3 linked regions of the Drosophila melanogaster genome follow. Changing the gene in region 1 together with any one later gene gives a genetic interaction. Each region holds a gene or a part of one and is shown on either strand. Other genes may lie near its edges.

Evidence for each region.
Region 2: of clu (region 1) and TER94, changing one suppresses a phenotype caused by changing the other (phenotypic suppression), as found in Drosophila melanogaster (one study listed by BioGRID).
Region 3: of clu (region 1) and Drp1, changing one suppresses a phenotype caused by changing the other (phenotypic suppression), as found in Drosophila melanogaster (one study listed by BioGRID).

What each region holds. Positions count from the first base shown.
Region 1 is NT_033778.4:16,184,741-16,189,713, forward strand, and holds the start of clu (clueless), read left to right. Parts: upstream 1-1,843; 5' UTR 1,844-2,182; coding exon 2,183-2,396; intron 2,397-3,148; exon of another isoform or gene 3,149-3,414; intron 3,415-3,837; coding exon 3,838-4,924; intron 4,925-4,973. Other genes in the region: CG8441 (uncharacterized protein), read right to left, coding at 424-1,011, 1,072-1,245. UniProt on the Drosophila melanogaster protein: mRNA-binding protein involved in proper cytoplasmic distribution of mitochondria.
Region 2 is NT_033778.4:9,988,151-9,994,075, forward strand, and holds TER94 (transitional endoplasmic reticulum 94), read left to right. Parts: upstream 1-2,052; 5' UTR 2,053-2,147; coding exon 2,148-2,239; intron 2,240-2,320; coding exon 2,321-2,423; intron 2,424-2,509; coding exon 2,510-4,546; intron 4,547-4,612; coding exon 4,613-4,767; intron 4,768-4,833; coding exon 4,834-4,927; 3' UTR 4,928-5,409; downstream 5,410-5,925.
Region 3 is NT_033779.5:2,580,717-2,587,130, forward strand, and holds Drp1 (dynamin related protein 1), read right to left. Parts: upstream 4,715-6,414; 5' UTR 4,556-4,714; coding exon 4,454-4,555; intron 3,686-4,453; coding exon 3,541-3,685; intron 3,483-3,540; coding exon 2,818-3,482; intron 2,603-2,817; coding exon 2,151-2,602; intron 2,096-2,150; coding exon 1,750-2,095; intron 1,687-1,749; coding exon 1,458-1,686; intron 1,394-1,457; coding exon 1,182-1,393; intron 1,123-1,181; coding exon 1,066-1,122; 3' UTR 565-1,065; downstream 1-564. Other genes in the region: Arpc5 (Actin-related protein 2/3 complex, subunit 5), read left to right, coding at 1-170.

The sequences.
Region 1 (4,973 bases):
AAAGAAATCTAATTATTGAAAACAATAAAAACTTGCTTCTTCAAGAAACCAGAAAAAAATATGTTTATACCCAGAACTAAAAATGGTGGATTTCTGTCAAGGGTATAATTAATGTATTGCCTGCGATGTCAAATTTTGAAAGCATTTATTATACTCAAAAATGCAACATTTGATGCACCTTATAAATGTAAGACAACAAAAAACAAAATGCGCACTAAAGCCACGACAACTCAATGCATAATTCGCAAAACGCTTTCTTCTCAACCAAGCTGCTTTAGAAAGATGGCCTCAGATGAAAACCCCTAGATACTGGCGATGTATAGAAATCGCTTAATATATATATATTACAAAAGTACTATAAATAAAACCGCACTGTGTTTTATTACTCTAAACGGTTTATTGATAGGAATAGAACAGGAGGTACTAAGGCACAGGCTTGTCTTGTTCTTGATCCACATTTTGGGATTCCTTTGTAGCTTCGGTGCTATCTAATTCCACTGCATTTGTGTCCTCTGCGCTTTTCGCTTCTGTATTTGAATTCACTGCCTCTTCATTCGAAGTTTCTTGGGTGTTATTGTCGTCGGATTCCTTGGATGCCACCTGTTGTCCTTCCTCAGGGCTACTTTCTGCCTTTTCTTCTGTGGGCTCTTCCTCGGAATCTGTGTTACTATCCTCTGAGGCTTCCTTAGCCAGTGGCTTCTTGTCCTCTCTCGGCTTTTTCGCCCTCTGTTTTCTCTTCAACCGTTTGGCTCGTTTCTTAGCAGTCTTTTCTTCGGCCGCGCGTCTGTTGTCGTCCAACTTCTGCTGGTAAGCTTCATCTGCTGCTTCGCGGGCACTCTGGTTCTGGATGTTCTTCTGGCGGGCGTACTCCTTGCGTCGCAAGTGGCGGTACACATGGAACTCGCCGGAACCCGCTCCAGCACTGCTTCCCATCACATTCCGCACGAACGTGGGCACCGAGGACATGAAGTCCCGTTCGCGACGCTGCTCCGGTATGACCACGGGCTTATCCTGGCAATAAAAGGTTTATTAATATGAATGTCCACCCAGCTTTCCAATGCAAACACATACCGGATTCTTCATGAGCTTCTCCAGCTTCAGCCTCTGTAGATCTGTCGCGGTTTTGATGAACGGCCGCAGAGGCTTGTCCTTCTCATCGGAATCGCTTTCTCCAGATCCCGCATTCTTTTTCTTTTTCTTTGCCTTCTGTTCGGGCTCTTTTACCAAATTCTTTATAAGCGACATGTTTGTTTGGTTAAAAACAGTATTTTATGTGTGGCTGTATTACAAGTCGTAAAAAATACACACCGAATTAAAAAAAAAACTTAACGGGGACTATGCTTGATCTGTAAAATTGTATGCGTCAAATTAGAGTCGATAAGTTAGCGGCGATGGCGGAACGGTGGAATTTCAGGAAAATTTCAATTTTTGAGATAATTTCATAACAGTAGGTCCAGCTATGAACCAACCCATCCTTAAAACAGGCCCTTTACATTAATTAATTTTTAAAAATTGTTGAATAGAAATTCACCTTCAAATAAAATAAAAAAAACCTACCCATGTTACAAATTTCACTGTTCCTCAACGACGCTAATATGACGCACTTTATAAAAAGGCTTAAAAATTTGTTTTAAATAAAAATAAGTTTGTATTGTGCATAAATTACCTTTTATTAAACAGAACACAATTGTTGTTAAAATAAATGCAATCATATATATTGGTATCGTTTTTGCGTGTGCATCCCTATCACTAGTTGTTGTCCATCTGCAATTATACACAGCAAATAACTAAATACTAATTAAAATACTGCAACCAAGCCAATGCCAGCGGTATATTTAAATGTTCACCCGGTGGTCACACTCTCAGCCGTTAACAACATAACGCGTTATTTTCTAGCGAATCGGCCGATTTATATCCTCGATAAGTAATGTGCTGAAAAGAACAGAACTAGCAAAGACCCACTTGTCATAGATGCGTACGAGATCGTTAACCAAACAACAATCACGTTCGCAATCGACCAGAAAGACACTGAAAATCGAACCGAAATCACCCCGAGCTCGGCGAGCGGTTAGAGTTGTGTAACACGGACGGACGGGCCCAAAAAAAAAAGAAACGTGAACTAGAACTCTGTGTCTCCTCCGCTGGTTTTGTTGAGTTTTTGGCGAGCAGGTGAAACAAAAGCATGGCGCTTGAAACGGAGGCGAAGAATTCAAATGCAACGGCCACGGGCGATGCAACAGCAACAGCAACAAAGGCCAGCGGCAAGGCCAAGGAGAACAACAACACGGCCGGCGGCAAAAAGAACCTGAATCCGAATTCGAATCAGCAGAATTCGAATCAGAACTTGGTCAATGGCAATGGCACGGCTGCCGACGGGCCGGCTGCGAAGAAGAAAGGTGCGTTTAACTTTCCGCCTACGCCCATGTTCAACCAACCAATCAACCACCCACCCACCCACACACCAACCCATCACCACCTCCTCTTAGCTTTGCTGCCTTGGAAACTGCCTCAATATATTATTTGCCACAAAAGCCAATCACATAACATTTTTAACATTACGTAATGGGCTTTTTCTTCCCTATAATGCCTTAAAAGCGGCGCCCGTTGTCTATGGCTGCCCCTCCACCCCCTTTTACGAGCCTTCCCTCTCCCCCTCTCTCCATAAACCGCGTGGGTTACAATTGCAATCGTAAATGTGTGTGTGTGTATTATTGGAGTTAAGTGCGTGTGTGAGAACTGCAAGTGTGAGGCTCCCTATCTCTCTCGCTCTTTCTCTTCCTCTTGGCATGGCAACGCACATGTTATTAACCCGGCAACGGCGACGAAATGTTCATTAACCCCCCGGGCGGATTTCTTGTTGCGTTTAACCTACAATTAACACGTGCGCGGCCCGAAATGCATGCACTTAACACACGCAAATTGTTCGACAATTATGTAAATCATGTTTTCTATCCGTAGACGCATCGCTCTACACTTTGTCTCCTTCTCTCCGAATTCCTTGCGGTTAATGAACATTGTACTTATCACTTTTGCTTTCTCCTCTCCCCACTCTCTTTGCCTCTCTCATTCTCTCTCCCTAGCTCTATCTCTATGTATCTCACAGTGCTGTAATTTAGTATACGGCTGTTGAAATTAGCATGGTCGTGTTAAACCCATTCCGTTTTCCTGAGAGATCGAAAGGAGATTGGATTATTCGGTGGACTGTTCGTTCGTACGGACTCCGAACGAACCCGGCCCCTTTGGCCTTATCAGCTCGCTTTTCTCTTTCTGTTTGTTTTTCTACTGTTTTGTTGTAAATGTATGTACATATGCCTTTATATGTATATGCAAGCACACAGCTTGCCGGCGAACACAGACAAACTGAGCGACAAAAGTGTGCGGACAGTATTGTTATGTAAAAATCGGAGCCTGGAGGTAGAGACACCTCTTTTTAAATTATTATATATTGCCAGACAATTTTAGAAAAGAAACGTGTAACGTATTTGCATTACCTTTAATTCTGTCACCATTTTTCAAATAATATCAAGGTTTAATTATTAAACTAGATATAAACCACTATTTATAAATTAAGAATGGTAAACATTAAATTCTAACATAAACTTGGCAGCATTGCTTGGAAATTTAAATTCCTAAGAATAATCTTTTGTTTTTAAAAACATACTAATGAACCATAATAAATAAATAACGGATTTATACAAGATTCTTCTGAGAGACATGGAAACAAAAGTCGGTCCAAAGTTCACGTTTCTCCCTATACATCGAATAGGTTACACAATGCTCCATATGCCTTTCCCAATATTGACTAACAACAAATTACTTCTTCATCGCCCCATGTAGGCAAGAAGAACCGCAACAAAAGCCCAACTGAACCCACAACCGAAGCCGTTCTGAGCAACGGACACGCCGAGAAGCCCACAGTGGTGGATGCAGTTGAGGACAATGCCGATACCAATGCCAATGTGGAGAAACCGCAGGAAGGAGGAGCACCGGATGCTGAGGCTGATGGTGATGACATTGATCTGGACGCTCTGCAGGACATTGGCATCACGGTGAACATCAGCAGTCCCGGCGCCGATCTGCTCTGCGTGCAGCTGTCCAGCATGGAGCTGGTGCAGGAAATCCACCAGCTGCTGATGGACCGCGAAGAGACGTGCCATCGTACATGCTTCTCGCTGCAGCTGGACAACGTGACGCTCGACAATTTCGCCGAACTCAAGTCAATCAATAACCTTGAGCAGGGCTCGACGATCAAAGTGGTAGAGGAGCCGTACACCATGCGGGAGGCCCGTATTCATGTGCGCCATGTCCGTGATCTTCTCAAAAACCTTGACCCGGCCGACGCGTACAATGGCATTGACTGTACTTCGCTGACCTACTTAAACACGATCACTCAGGGTGATTTGCTGGACAAGAAGAGGACGCGACCGGACTCCGTGGATTGCACTCCGCCGGAGTATGTGACTCCGGGTGTAAGTGATCCGCCAATTCTGCCATTGCATCCAAATGTGAAGAACGCCAAGGGACCGCAGGCTCTCAAGGTACTGACTACATCCGCCTGGAACCCGCCACCCGGTCCTCGCAAGCTGCATGGTGACCTCATGTATCTGTACGTTGTCACCATGGAGGATAAACGATTCCACATCTCAGCCTGTTCCAAGGGCTTCTTCATCAACCAGTCGACAGACGACACCTTTAATCCCAAGCCCGACAATCCAAGCCACCTCAGCCACTCGCTGATCGATCTGCTTTCCCACATATCACCATCGTTCCGACGTGCCTTCCAGACCATCCAGAAGCGACGCACCATGCGTCATGCCTTCGAGCGTGTAGCCACGCCCTATCAGGTGTACCAGTGGGCAGCTCCCATCCTGGAGCACACAGTGGACGCTATTCGTGCCGAGGATGCATTCAGCTCAAAATTGGGGTAGGTTGAGCAAAAAGATTTTAATAGTATTACTACATAAATGTTAACA
Region 2 (5,925 bases), 6.2 Mb from region 1:
TACACCGTTTGTCGTCTTGTCAAGTAGTATCTTCACAATAAGTATAATACAGAATCAAGATAGTAAAATAAAACAAAAAATCGTGTGAATAAATCAGAGCTAAAGACGTCGGACTGTACAGCAGAGTTTGGTGGAAAAGAGAGAAAAGCGAGGAGAGCGCTGTTTGCATCATACACCGCAATGAATGAGTGCCCCATAATTGTGACTTTGGGTCTGAGGCGGTTCCGCTGCCCTGCCCCCCGCTCTTCGCTGCTTCCTGCGCCGCGGAAGGCGACGGCCATCTTTATCAGCCACCCCGACTCCCCACTCCTCTTCATCGTCACCCTCATCGTCACAAAAACTGGTTTCCGCTCGCCACTTTCTTTTGCTCTCTGCGCAGGCGCTCTTCGAAGACAAGAGACTTGCAGGCGATTGGTTGAATTCGTTCTGCGTTTCTATGGAGTTTGCTCCCATTCTTTTGGGGGCAGCGACCACGCCCAATGACGCTGCTCTCCTCTCTGCCGACGTCGCTGTCACTCTCTTAAGTACTAAAAAATAAAACTGAAAGTAAAGCTAAATAAAACGCTGCCATAATTGGCATCGTTAATGCCAAAACCATGAATACTAAAAAGTTTTTACGAGCATAAGCTGCGATTGAGCAGTTATTGTAGGGACAGGTTGATGGCCGAGTGTTCTAGGGAAATGAATGAATGAAGATTTTTTCTTACTACCAAAACTTCTACAACTAAGTGAAATAGACGGATTGAGTTCTACATACTTCCTACATATATTTTAGATATAGACATAGCCGAAAAGTATGCTGCACTTTTTCAATAAAAACGTAAGCAGCTACGTTATCACGCATGGCTTCATAGCAGCGATCATCTGCCAGCGAGCATAGCCAAGTTAGGCACCTGCACACATTGCCACTCTTTCCTTTAGCGTTGCCACTTCAATTTCTTTTACAAACCATCGCAGCGTGTAATCGATATTTTCTAAGCCCAATCGATGAATGTCCGGTAACGCACATCACCAATCTGTTTCTGCTGCCTCATCTTTGAATTTGACTAAAAGTGCCGATTTCCAGCTCAACGAATAGTCCAAGTCGCGCCGAATTGTACAATTAAGTTAAAAAGTTCAACGTCAACTAGTTTATCATGGCAGATTCCAAGGGGTAAGTGAACTGGACGCCGAAATAGGCGCCGACTGTGTCGGTCCAAGTCGAAATTCACAAATTTCGCTCAGTCATTGAGCCGAAAAAAATACGCAAGGGCCACATCGCAGACATACTATTATTTAATTGTGAAAGGCTTTCGCCGATTTCCGCGAGACAAAGACATTTACCGCGACTTTTCCACTGCTCGGTTGCAAAATGTTGCGAAACTAGGGCAAACCTAAAAACCGAAGAAAAAAAAACGCCAGCGAGAATCGCCATTTGCAGTACGTTGTTGTTGTTGTTGGTGTTACTGCCCTTGCAGTTGTTGTTGCCGCTTGAAAACTTACGATTTCCCTTTGTTGTCCCAAAAATACAAGTCATCCTTTGCTGGAGGATACAATTTTCCGGTTGTTGTAGTTATAACTTTGGATACGAAAAACAATACTGCATACATATATGGCAGCTATTTCTATAATAAATCGCGAAAATCCTAAACTATATGCCGAAACCACTTATTTCAATGCTACCTATTAGTAATACCTTTTTTGATATTGCATTAATTCTAGAAAAGTCTTTGTGCTCCCTCAACTCGCCAGAAGTAAAAAAAAACATATCGTTTAAGTAACAATAAATGCATAATTTACCTCAAAGTTTAGAAATTATTATAACAAATGGCGCCAAAAAAGTTGGCATCGAATACAAGAAATACAAACATACTTTTATAACTAAAGACAATAAACAATTGTACTATTATTCCGATTAATATAGATTTTTATGAACGATATAGGGTGATAACCTTTTATGTTCAAAAATCTATCAATAAAGATTGATCGACATCATCACGTTAGCAACGAAAAATGATTCGGCAGGCCTAATTATCCAGATGCTTAGTTCCATTCCGTATTACTAGTGAAAGTAGTTTCCATAAATTTATCAAAACTAACAAAAAAGGCAATCCAAAAAAACAAAAAAAAAAACAAAAAAAACAATGTCTGGCGGCAAGAACGATAAGATGGATCATGATGGGGATACGAGGGACTTTATGCGGGGATATCACAGCGAGCAGGATGAGAAAATGAAGCCGAAAGACTCGTTCGATAAGCGGTTAGGCCAAATTATATATAAGACATAAGATATTTCTTTAGCGACGAGTCTTACGCGATGCTTTTTTCTTCTACCCTACAGTGAAGATCTGGCTACGGCGATCCTGAAGCGCAAGGACCGTCCCAACCGACTGATTGTGGAAGAGGCGCAGAATGACGACAACTCTGTGGTGTCGCTATCGCAGGTAAGATTCACTCTCCCAAAGGCCACGTCATCGCATGGCTAATTCACATGACTTGGCTGTTCTTTTTCCCCCTTAAACTATATCAGGCGAAGATGGATGAGCTGCAGCTCTTCCGTGGCGACACCGTGATTCTGAAGGGCAAGCGCCGAAAGGAGACGGTGTGCATCGTGCTCTCGGACGACACCTGTCCCGACGAGAAGATCCGCATGAACCGCGTGGTGCGCAACAACCTGTGCGTCCATCTTTCAGATGTGGTTTCCGTGCAGTCCTGCCCGGACGTCAAGTACGGCAAACGGGTGCGCATCCTGCCCATCGACGAAAGCACCGAAGGCGTTACCGGCAACCTGTTCGAGATCTATCTGAAGCCGTACTTCCTAGAGGCCTATCGGCCAATCCACATGGGCGACAACTTTATTGTGCGCGCCGCCATGCGTCCTATTGAGTTCAAGGTGGTGCTGACCGACCCGGAGCCCTACTGCATCGTAGCTCCCGAGACGGTAATCTTCTGCGACGGTGATCCAATTAAGCGCGAGGAGGAGGAGGAGTCCCTAAACGCCGTTGGCTACGATGATATCGGTGGTTGCCGCAAGCAGCTGGCCCAGATCAAGGAGATGGTTGAGTTGCCTTTGCGGCATCCATCGCTCTTCAAGGCCATTGGTGTGAAGCCACCGCGTGGTATTCTTATGTACGGTCCCCCGGGTACCGGTAAGACCCTGATTGCCAGGGCTGTGGCCAACGAGACCGGAGCCTTTTTCTTCCTGATTAACGGACCGGAGATCATGTCCAAACTGGCCGGAGAGTCGGAATCGAATCTGCGCAAGGCCTTCGAGGAAGCCGAGAAAAACTCGCCGGCTATCATCTTCATCGATGAGATCGACGCTATTGCCCCCAAGCGTGACAAGACCCACGGTGAGGTGGAGCGTCGCATTGTGTCGCAGCTTTTGACCCTGATGGATGGCATGAAGAAGAGCTCCCATCTGATCGTTATGGCTGCTACCAACAGGCCCAACTCCATTGACCCGGCCCTGCGTCGCTTTGGACGTTTTGATCGTGAGATTGACATCGGCATTCCAGATGCCACTGGACGGCTGGAGGTGCTGCGCATTCACACCAAGAACATGAAGCTGCATGATGATGTTGACCTGGAGCAGATTGCTGCCGAATCCCACGGACATGTGGGCGCTGATCTGGCTTCACTCTGCTCTGAGGCTGCCCTTCAGCAAATCCGTGAGAAGATGGACCTCATCGATTTGGAAGACGATAAGATCGATGCCGAGGTGCTGGCGTCGCTGGCCGTGACAATGGAGAACTTCCGCTACGCTATGACCAAGTCCAGTCCATCGGCGCTGCGTGAAACTGTTGTTGAGGTGCCCAACACCACCTGGACAGACATCGGAGGTCTGGAGAGCGTCAAGAAGGAATTGCAGGAGCTGGTGCAATACCCAGTGGAGCATCCGGACAAGTTCTTGAAGTTTGGCATGCAGCCCAGTCGCGGTGTCCTTTTCTACGGACCCCCTGGTTGCGGTAAGACGCTGCTGGCCAAGGCCATTGCCAACGAGTGCCAGGCGAACTTCATCTCAGTCAAGGGTCCCGAACTGCTGACCATGTGGTTCGGCGAGTCTGAGGCCAACGTGCGCGACATCTTCGATAAGGCCCGCTCGGCGGCTCCTTGTGTGCTCTTCTTCGACGAGCTGGACTCGATCGCCAAAGCCCGTGGCGGTAATGTCGGCGATGCTGGCGGCGCCGCTGATCGTGTGATCAATCAGATCCTTACCGAAATGGATGGCATGGGAGCCAAGAAGAATGTGTTCATCATCGGAGCCACCAATCGCCCGGACATTATCGATCCGGCCATCCTCCGTCCGGGCCGTCTGGATCAGTTGATCTATATTCCGCTGCCCGACGACAAATCGCGTGAGGCTATCCTGAAGGCTAACTTGCGCAAGTCGCCGCTGGCCAAGGAAGTAGACCTTACCTACATCGCCAAGGTGACGCAGGGCTTCTCTGGCGCCGATCTGACCGAGATCTGCCAGCGGGCTTGCAAGCTGGCCATCCGACAGGCCATCGAGGCTGAAATTCGTCGCGAGAAGGAGCGCGCCGAAAATCAGAACTCCGCGATGGACGTAAGTCATTTAGCTTAGCGCAAAAAATAAGAATGTTTATGTTTGACTATTTACCCATATAATCAGATGGACGAGGACGATCCAGTGCCGGAGATTACTAGCGCCCACTTCGAGGAGGCCATGAAGTTCGCTCGCCGTTCGGTGTCCGATAATGACATCAGGAAGTACGAGATGTTTGCCCAGACTTTGCAGCAGTCCCGTGGATTCGGACAGAACTTCAGGTGAGAATTGAAAGGCATTTCTTGTTGGAATCCAGGTTACTGATGATAGTGTATATGTTATTGCAGATTCCCCGGTCAAACCGGCAACACCTCAGGATCTGGTAACAACTTGCCAGTTAACTCGCCCGGCGACAACGGCGACGATGATCTTTACAGTTAGATTTCTAGTTTTACACCGCAAAACAAAACCACAAAATGGAACTTTTTAAATGAATTTTTTCCGTAAAACCGAGCAAGCAAAACCAATCACATTCGCATCCTGGACGCGGTAACTTACTACAGCAACCATTGGCTAAGACATCCAGCCGATGGCGAAATCAGATGACATACCCGATTCAATATTCACTTCTTTGATACCATCCTTACTCTTGGTCGCGGATACGTGCAGTAGGAGAAGGTTCCCATTTGGATTTGGGCTCGCCTAATCCGAAACCATTTTAATTGGCGAACTATTCCGCGCCTCACACTAATCATTCGTGCATTGTCGGTAGAGTGGCTCCGATATATGAGTTTCTATAAACATAATTATTAACGATACACATACACACATACATTTAAAGATAAATACATATATTAAACACCGTAAAATTATAAGTGTATTTGGAGCTACATTTTTAAGTGAATAAAAATTATAAATTCAACAAAATCATGTGCTTTAAATTGAAGAAATATTGAAAAATAGACGCAACGAGGTAATTGGGTGTTGAGATTAAAGAGCAAGAGTTACATAATCAATTATTTATTTTTGATAAGGTTCACTAGCAAAGTGGAACGTTGCTTTATTTTAACTGATCATTGGCCACAGTGCAATAAAATGCGTAATAAATTAAATTGGTCGGTACTCGTATGAGTGCAGTGAAAAAATATGTCTTCGTGCCTCGATTTCTGCAAGTCCAATTTAGTCATCAAGAGTACTAACCAAATCCATACTGTTCCCATTTGAAAATATCATTTCATTTGTTTTATCGCATTTATTAAACTTGTATTAATTCGTCATGTTTGCTTTTTCTGGTTTTCAATTGTTTTTTCACTTTTATTTTTATTAATTCTTTGCGACATAACAAGGACATCTTAATATGAAGTTAGTTGAATTCTTTCATATTTAAATAATCATTATCGCTTCGGTCTTATAAATAAACTTTCTTTGCCATTCTTTTA
Region 3 (6,414 bases), on another chromosome or scaffold:
CCTTGGACCAGAACGACCTAATAGACGTGCTGATGAAGTACATATATCGGGGATTCGAGATCCCCTCGGAGGGCTCCAGTGGCCACCTGCTGCAGTGGCATGAGAAGGCCTTCGCCAAGGGAGGAGTGGGCTGCATTGTCCGCGTGCTGTCCGACACAAATCGCGCCTAGAGGAGATCAGCACAGCCAAAGGCGGTCATAGAGTCACTACCCCAACTGTTCCCTGCCCCATAAACCGATTCATACGCATCGCGGAGCATTTAATCAACACAGGATTGGAGCACTGGACACCACATCCTTATCTTCGGGATTTGCCACGCCCCAGCTGGAACCCACTTCTGTTTCTTCGCCGCAATACAAATGACGTTTTCCAAATTAGATTTTAACTGGTATCCAAGTATTAAAGTTTTTATTACGAAAGGTGAGTGGCAGTGATTTCAATCAGGGGAACGAACGTACTTCTAGTTCACTCAAGCCACACCTACATGTAACATAATTTGTAAGAAAAATTTTGTTTTTAGTAAGGCTAAGCAATTGCTACGCATCTCAAAACTCAGGAAGATTCAACTCCTATCAGATTTAAACACTTATTAATCTTCAGACTGAGCCTAGCAACTTTACGAACATAATGGCTTATCTAATCGAAATTCCAGGTGTATCATTCAACATGATGACGTTGCCTTCGTAAACTTTTAGCTGCCGTGACAGAAAACACATCTACTATGTTTGAATCAACCTTTTCTGCTTTATTTGACTATTCAATGTGTAATAAGTGCTTTGAGTAACCTAATCAAACCAATCACGGCGTCTACAACTTCTTATTAATTTAAAAAGCGGAGAGGCTCGATGATAGACAAATGCCAGGCGAATAGAAATGCGAGTTGGCTAAATGAAAGGCCCAGAATTTGGGGGTCGCATGCAATTTGATGATATTTCAGTGCTCGGTAGGGGGAACATTTAACAAAGGAGTTCGTTCTCTTTGAACGCGTCTTCAATAAATAGTTTTTATGTTGCTTATATGCGGGGATTATTAAGTCGAAACGGGTTGCTCCAATCGCTGACCAGCCTACCACATGTGGGTCTCGCGGATTTCGCTGATGATGTGATTCGCTCGCGTCAGTGCCTGAAATCAAAAGTAAGTTTAAAACGATGTCAAGCTAAGTATAAGCTAGCCAAGCGCACCTTCAGCATATCTGCCGCCTCTTTTCGGCGCACTGCAATGTGATCGGACTCGTTGAGCAGGGTTTCAGCCTTATCCGACTTATACAGATGTGTAACCAATTCGCTCTGCAAGTTGTCCTTAACGTAGTTAACCAAGAAATGCATGATGGCCTTTGGAACCGAGTCTTGTATGGATTTGCGCACAATGTAGAAATACGATTTGATCAGGTGTTCTAAAAACAAAAAGTAGTCAGATTGAGTTAGGTCTTTAAGTGGCCCGAGTTAAGTGCAACCCACCGATGACATCGCAATCCTTCTGCTCCTTGTCAGTGAGGCGACGTGGATTGTGGTTGGCCGGCACATCGGGCAGCAGATTGACCGGCTTCACTGGACTCACGATGTTATTGTGAACCGGAGTGTTGTTGGTCGAGTTCTCAATGCTGTCCGGACGCGTTGGTGCCGGCGGTAAAATGTTTGACAGCCATGTGCTGGCCATCGAAGGCGTCGAGTTCTCGGCGACGTGGTTCTAGAGAGCGAAACGAAAATGGGTTAAATAGGTTGCATACATAAATGAAGATTCCGCTGGCACCTGCTCATGCACTTGGCTATATTGCTGCTGTGAGGAATTCGGCTGCGGCGGCTGTTGCTGCTGCGGCTGCTGTGAACCAGCACTGTGCGACGAAATCTGAGGCGACATGTGGTTTCGCGGTGTATTGGCCCGCCGCTGCCCCAGATTTATCTGTGAGTAGGGATCGCTGTCCGTTTTCAGCAGACTGGGCACCAAAGCGGCATCCTTGTGGAAGTCGGGGTGCTTGGTGTTGATGTAGGCCAGCTCGATGGCCACAATGTTCTCCACCATCACGTTGGTGTGCGGCAGACGTCGACGCAGCAGCTGGGTGACCACGTCCACAATCTTCTCGTGCAGTTTGGGAAAGCTGTAGGGGAGATCGATGAAAACCTTTGGCGTTCAGCTATCATGAGTTCACATACCGCAGCATCTCCTGCTGCACTTCGTTGCCACAATGCTGAACAATGCGCTGCATCTCCTCGTGAATGAGTTCCACGCAGCGCAAGGAGGGTTCCTCCAGGCGGCGAATCTGGCGCTTCACTAGCAGTTCGAACGAGACCTCCGGAACGAACAAAGCCGGGCGTGGACCAGTGGCATTCCGGATGGCTGTCAGTATGTCCATCTTGCTCAGACCCGCCAGCGGGTGAATGGAGTCCAGGGTGCGGCCGAAGGTCTCGTGGAAAATGTAGCCCATCCGGGCACCGCCGCACAGTTCCGTGGTCTCGATATTCCTGGCCGTGCCCTCGATTGTGCAGCAGTAGGCGCTGGAGAACTTCGTGATGATCTGCAGCAGGGTCTGGCTCTTGTCGGAGACATCCTCGCCATAGGAGTTCAGCAGCGATTGGAATTGCGTGGCCATGATGTTGACGCGAGTCTGCAAGAATATGGGAAGTCATTCTCTTGAATTCAACATGCTATTCTAACCTTATCTGCCATTAATCTTCTCTTGCTTTACCATAGAAAAATATAAAGATCGATTATAATCGAGTGCCAAGTTTGTTTCATTTTTTTACATTTTCTTGAAGTTTTAGCCTGAGATTCTCGCATAGTTTGTGAAATCGATATGCAGTCTTTATAGACTAGACTCACCTTAAGATCTGGCAGGCAGTCCCGGATGTGGTGCATCAGGAGCCGGTTGAGGGTCTTGGCCAAGTAGGGCGTGCCGTTCCGGGTGGCCAGAGTGGGATACTTGCGCTGCAGGAAGGCGGCCTCGTCCTTCATCTGATCGTCGATGTGCTTTTGGTCCATGATGTCCTTCTGCGAGCGATTCATAACGCCGATGATGCCCAGCTTGACGGGAATGACCCGGCCGCACAGGATGTCGATGGCATCGGTGCCGGCATCCATGAGATCCAGTTTCGTGACCACGGCCAGAGTGCGCCGGCCATCGGGGTCCACGTCCTTGGCCAGCTTGAGTGCCTCACTGGTGGCCATGTCCGTGTTGGCGGCCGTCACAGCCAAAATGATGGAGTTCGGGTTCTCAATGTACTTGAGGACCAATTCTTTGATCTGCGCCTCGATATCCTCCGGCTGATCGCCCACCGGGACCTTGGTGATGCCGGGCAGATCCACCAGCGTTAGGTTGACCACGTGCGTTGAGAATATCTTCAGGTTGATGGGCTCCGGGCAGATGCCCTTGTTGCTGCCCGCCGCCCGCTCCGTTTCGTTTTCGATCTCCTTGCGGATCTCGTCAAAGTCCGTGAAGCACTTCTTGGTGTGCAGGAAGCGGCCCCACTCCTCGGCATTGGACGTACCTAAGTGTTATGTGGTTTAGCAATTGGGTTTTCCCGAACTTCTGACGTCTCAACTCACCATTTTCCGCCGAGCGATTCTCGCGATCATCGAGTGGGCTGTAGATCAGCTGGAGCACCAGTGGGCGACGGGTCACAATACCAGTTCCACGGGGCAGAAAGGATCGTCCCACAACGCTCTCGATCACCGAACTCTTGCCGGAGCTCTGGAAAAAAGGGGAAATGTATGTATTACTGGGAGTTAAAACGACGGCTGATAAAAGACGATGACCTGATAAGGTGGCTCCCAAGCGTTTGCAGCGAGGAAACACTTGGAAAACCGCAGATTAACTATTCTTATCTGGCAATGGGAGCCATTCTGTGATTGCAAATTTCTCAAACTTAAGCCTTTGCAACAGAAAACCAAATGAATGGTAAGAAATGGCACAGATTCAACATATTGGAGCTCCGCTGTACTCGGTATCAATGAGTTGCGCGAGCATTTAGTCATACTGACTTAATTCCAGAGCGTGAATCAAAGTGCAATTAAGCCAGCGATCGAAACATGCACACATATATGTACATACAGACACAACTATCGAAGTCACACATGTGTACGTTTGTTTTTTGCAGTGTGTTCGTGGGGGAATGTGTCACATCAGCCAGCAGCTGTTTTTTTTTTCGTTTTTGTATAATACTGTGGCATATTGATTTTCCATGGCGGCGGCGAGCAGTGCCAAAAATAATTATATAAACAATGGGGACGCCGCGAAGAGCGAAAGCTGGCTGAAATGTTGCTACAAACTGAAAACACAACTAAAATGCCGGCAAACGCACTCAGTTATATAATTTTGCGGTCACTGGAAAAGCGCAAGAGTTGGGGTTTCAGATAGCTGCGCCATATTCCGGTTCTCAGTTGCCACTCCTTTTACGGAGCTCGGGGATTTATGGTTTTCGGTGTGCGGATTTTTGGGCACCTCGCAGTTTGCATTTACCTGACTGCCTAGAACAACAATTTGGGGCAATTGGATGGAGTCGGAGCCCACGGTGTTGAAGACGTCCTGCAGCTTGTTTATGACCGGAATTAGGGCCTCCATTCTGAGTGTGTGTGTGTGCTGGGTTCCTTTGGTCGCGTTCCACTCGGCTGGCGATTAATTCGCGCACATAAAGGCCGTTCTTTTCGGCTTTTTCTGATTGACGCGAGCACCGAAATTATTTTTGCAAACCGCCAGTGTTGCACAGCAAATTTAGACTGTTTTTCTAGCGGTGTTGCCACACGGGCGGAACTTGCTGCTATCGGCAGTCCCTAGACGAGGTTGCCACCGTGCGCGAGAGTGCTGCCAATCTATTCCAAAAGGGCAGCTTTCTGTGCGCGCCAAAATTGAATTTTTGGGTGTTTCCAATTTTGCCCGTTAGTTGCGTGTATTGAATACTTTACACAAATAAAGAAAGGTATGATTTCATAACATTACTTAAAATCCCCCAATAGCTACAAAATATGAATGTCCTTTTCTTTTTGTTTTGTTTCATATTTTGCCTTTTTACTTATTTTATATGCACATGAGGAGTTTGTATTGATATGGACCAAACAAAAGGGGTCCTTACAAACCAATCTGAAAACTCACACACCACAATCTAAATCTGGCAGAATCTCAATATATTCATCGTATCTAACTAAATTGAAAAACTACACAGAGTAGGCGCATTTCTGAATACCCTTACAGACATAACAGTGAAAATGAATATATAGCATAAATATATTGTCTTTGATTTTGTCTAATTTCTGCAGAAATAAAGGACTATTTAAACGAAGAAATATTAAAGTTGGAGCAGCCGCCAAGTGGTCAGACCACGTGGCCCAAAATAGGGAAAAGGAATAATCTGGGGACCGGCCTCAAGTGCTCGAGATTTGCATGGGCGGTTGGGATGGGGACTTCCCCGGTTTTATATAAGAATTGCAGGGCAGTGAGCTGTGCCCCAAAACCAAAAAGGGGGCTACCCGACTATTTCTCGACCACACTCGATTGCCTGCCTGGCATGCATTGTGGGCGAAATGCCGGGCTCATCTGTCGTTTTTATCGGTTTATTTCAATGTTCGAGGATGCTTGTCGCCCGGTACACTAAGCATTCAAATTTCGATAGTGGCCTGGCCCAAATGGACCAGAATATTGGACGTACATATGTATGTACCACATCCATGTGCATAGAAGCCCCCACTCACGTATGCATCATGTGTCCTATTTGATAACAGTTCCCATTGTTGTTTGGCCAGCTCCTCCTGGCTGCTCCCAATTGAAAATGACAATGAAAATTGTTACAAGTTGGCTGATATCATTTTGCAATGCTCGCTTATCTCTTTAATGGCTTCCAAGCGATTTGAATATGCTTGGGATGATTTAAGATGACTTATTATTTACAATCCCATTGAAGTATCGAATTGTTTGAGTTTATTGTTCCGATCGCAGGATGGTAATATCGATTATAAGTAGTTTCAAAATTTAATCATTCCACTTCAAAATTAGTTACGCCATCCATGAAACTTTGATCATTCAAGTTTGGGATACTGACTAATCTCATTTCTTGCCCCATTATTATACATTCTGGCATTTTTCGAACTGCAAGTGGGCTTCTTTAGCATTTTCATAGATAAACTTTCGGCTTCCAATTAACAAATTTGGCTGGCAACTTTGCCAGCACACCTCTGCTGTATCTGTGTGTTTGAGTGTGTATAAATATTTCAAAATTTCCCCCATCAAATTGGCATTGTTGGACCGGGGAACTTTCGTATCTCTGGCTTGACAACTTGCCGAAATGTGCGGCGTGGAAAACTTCTTGAGTTTGAGTTGACAGTTATTGCGAAAGACGGGCGGGGGTGATGGTGATGGGGCACGCCCCCTTCTCGGGGCCGGAATATTAATTTGATAATTTCACGGCTGAATGCAAATTCGGTGTCAGG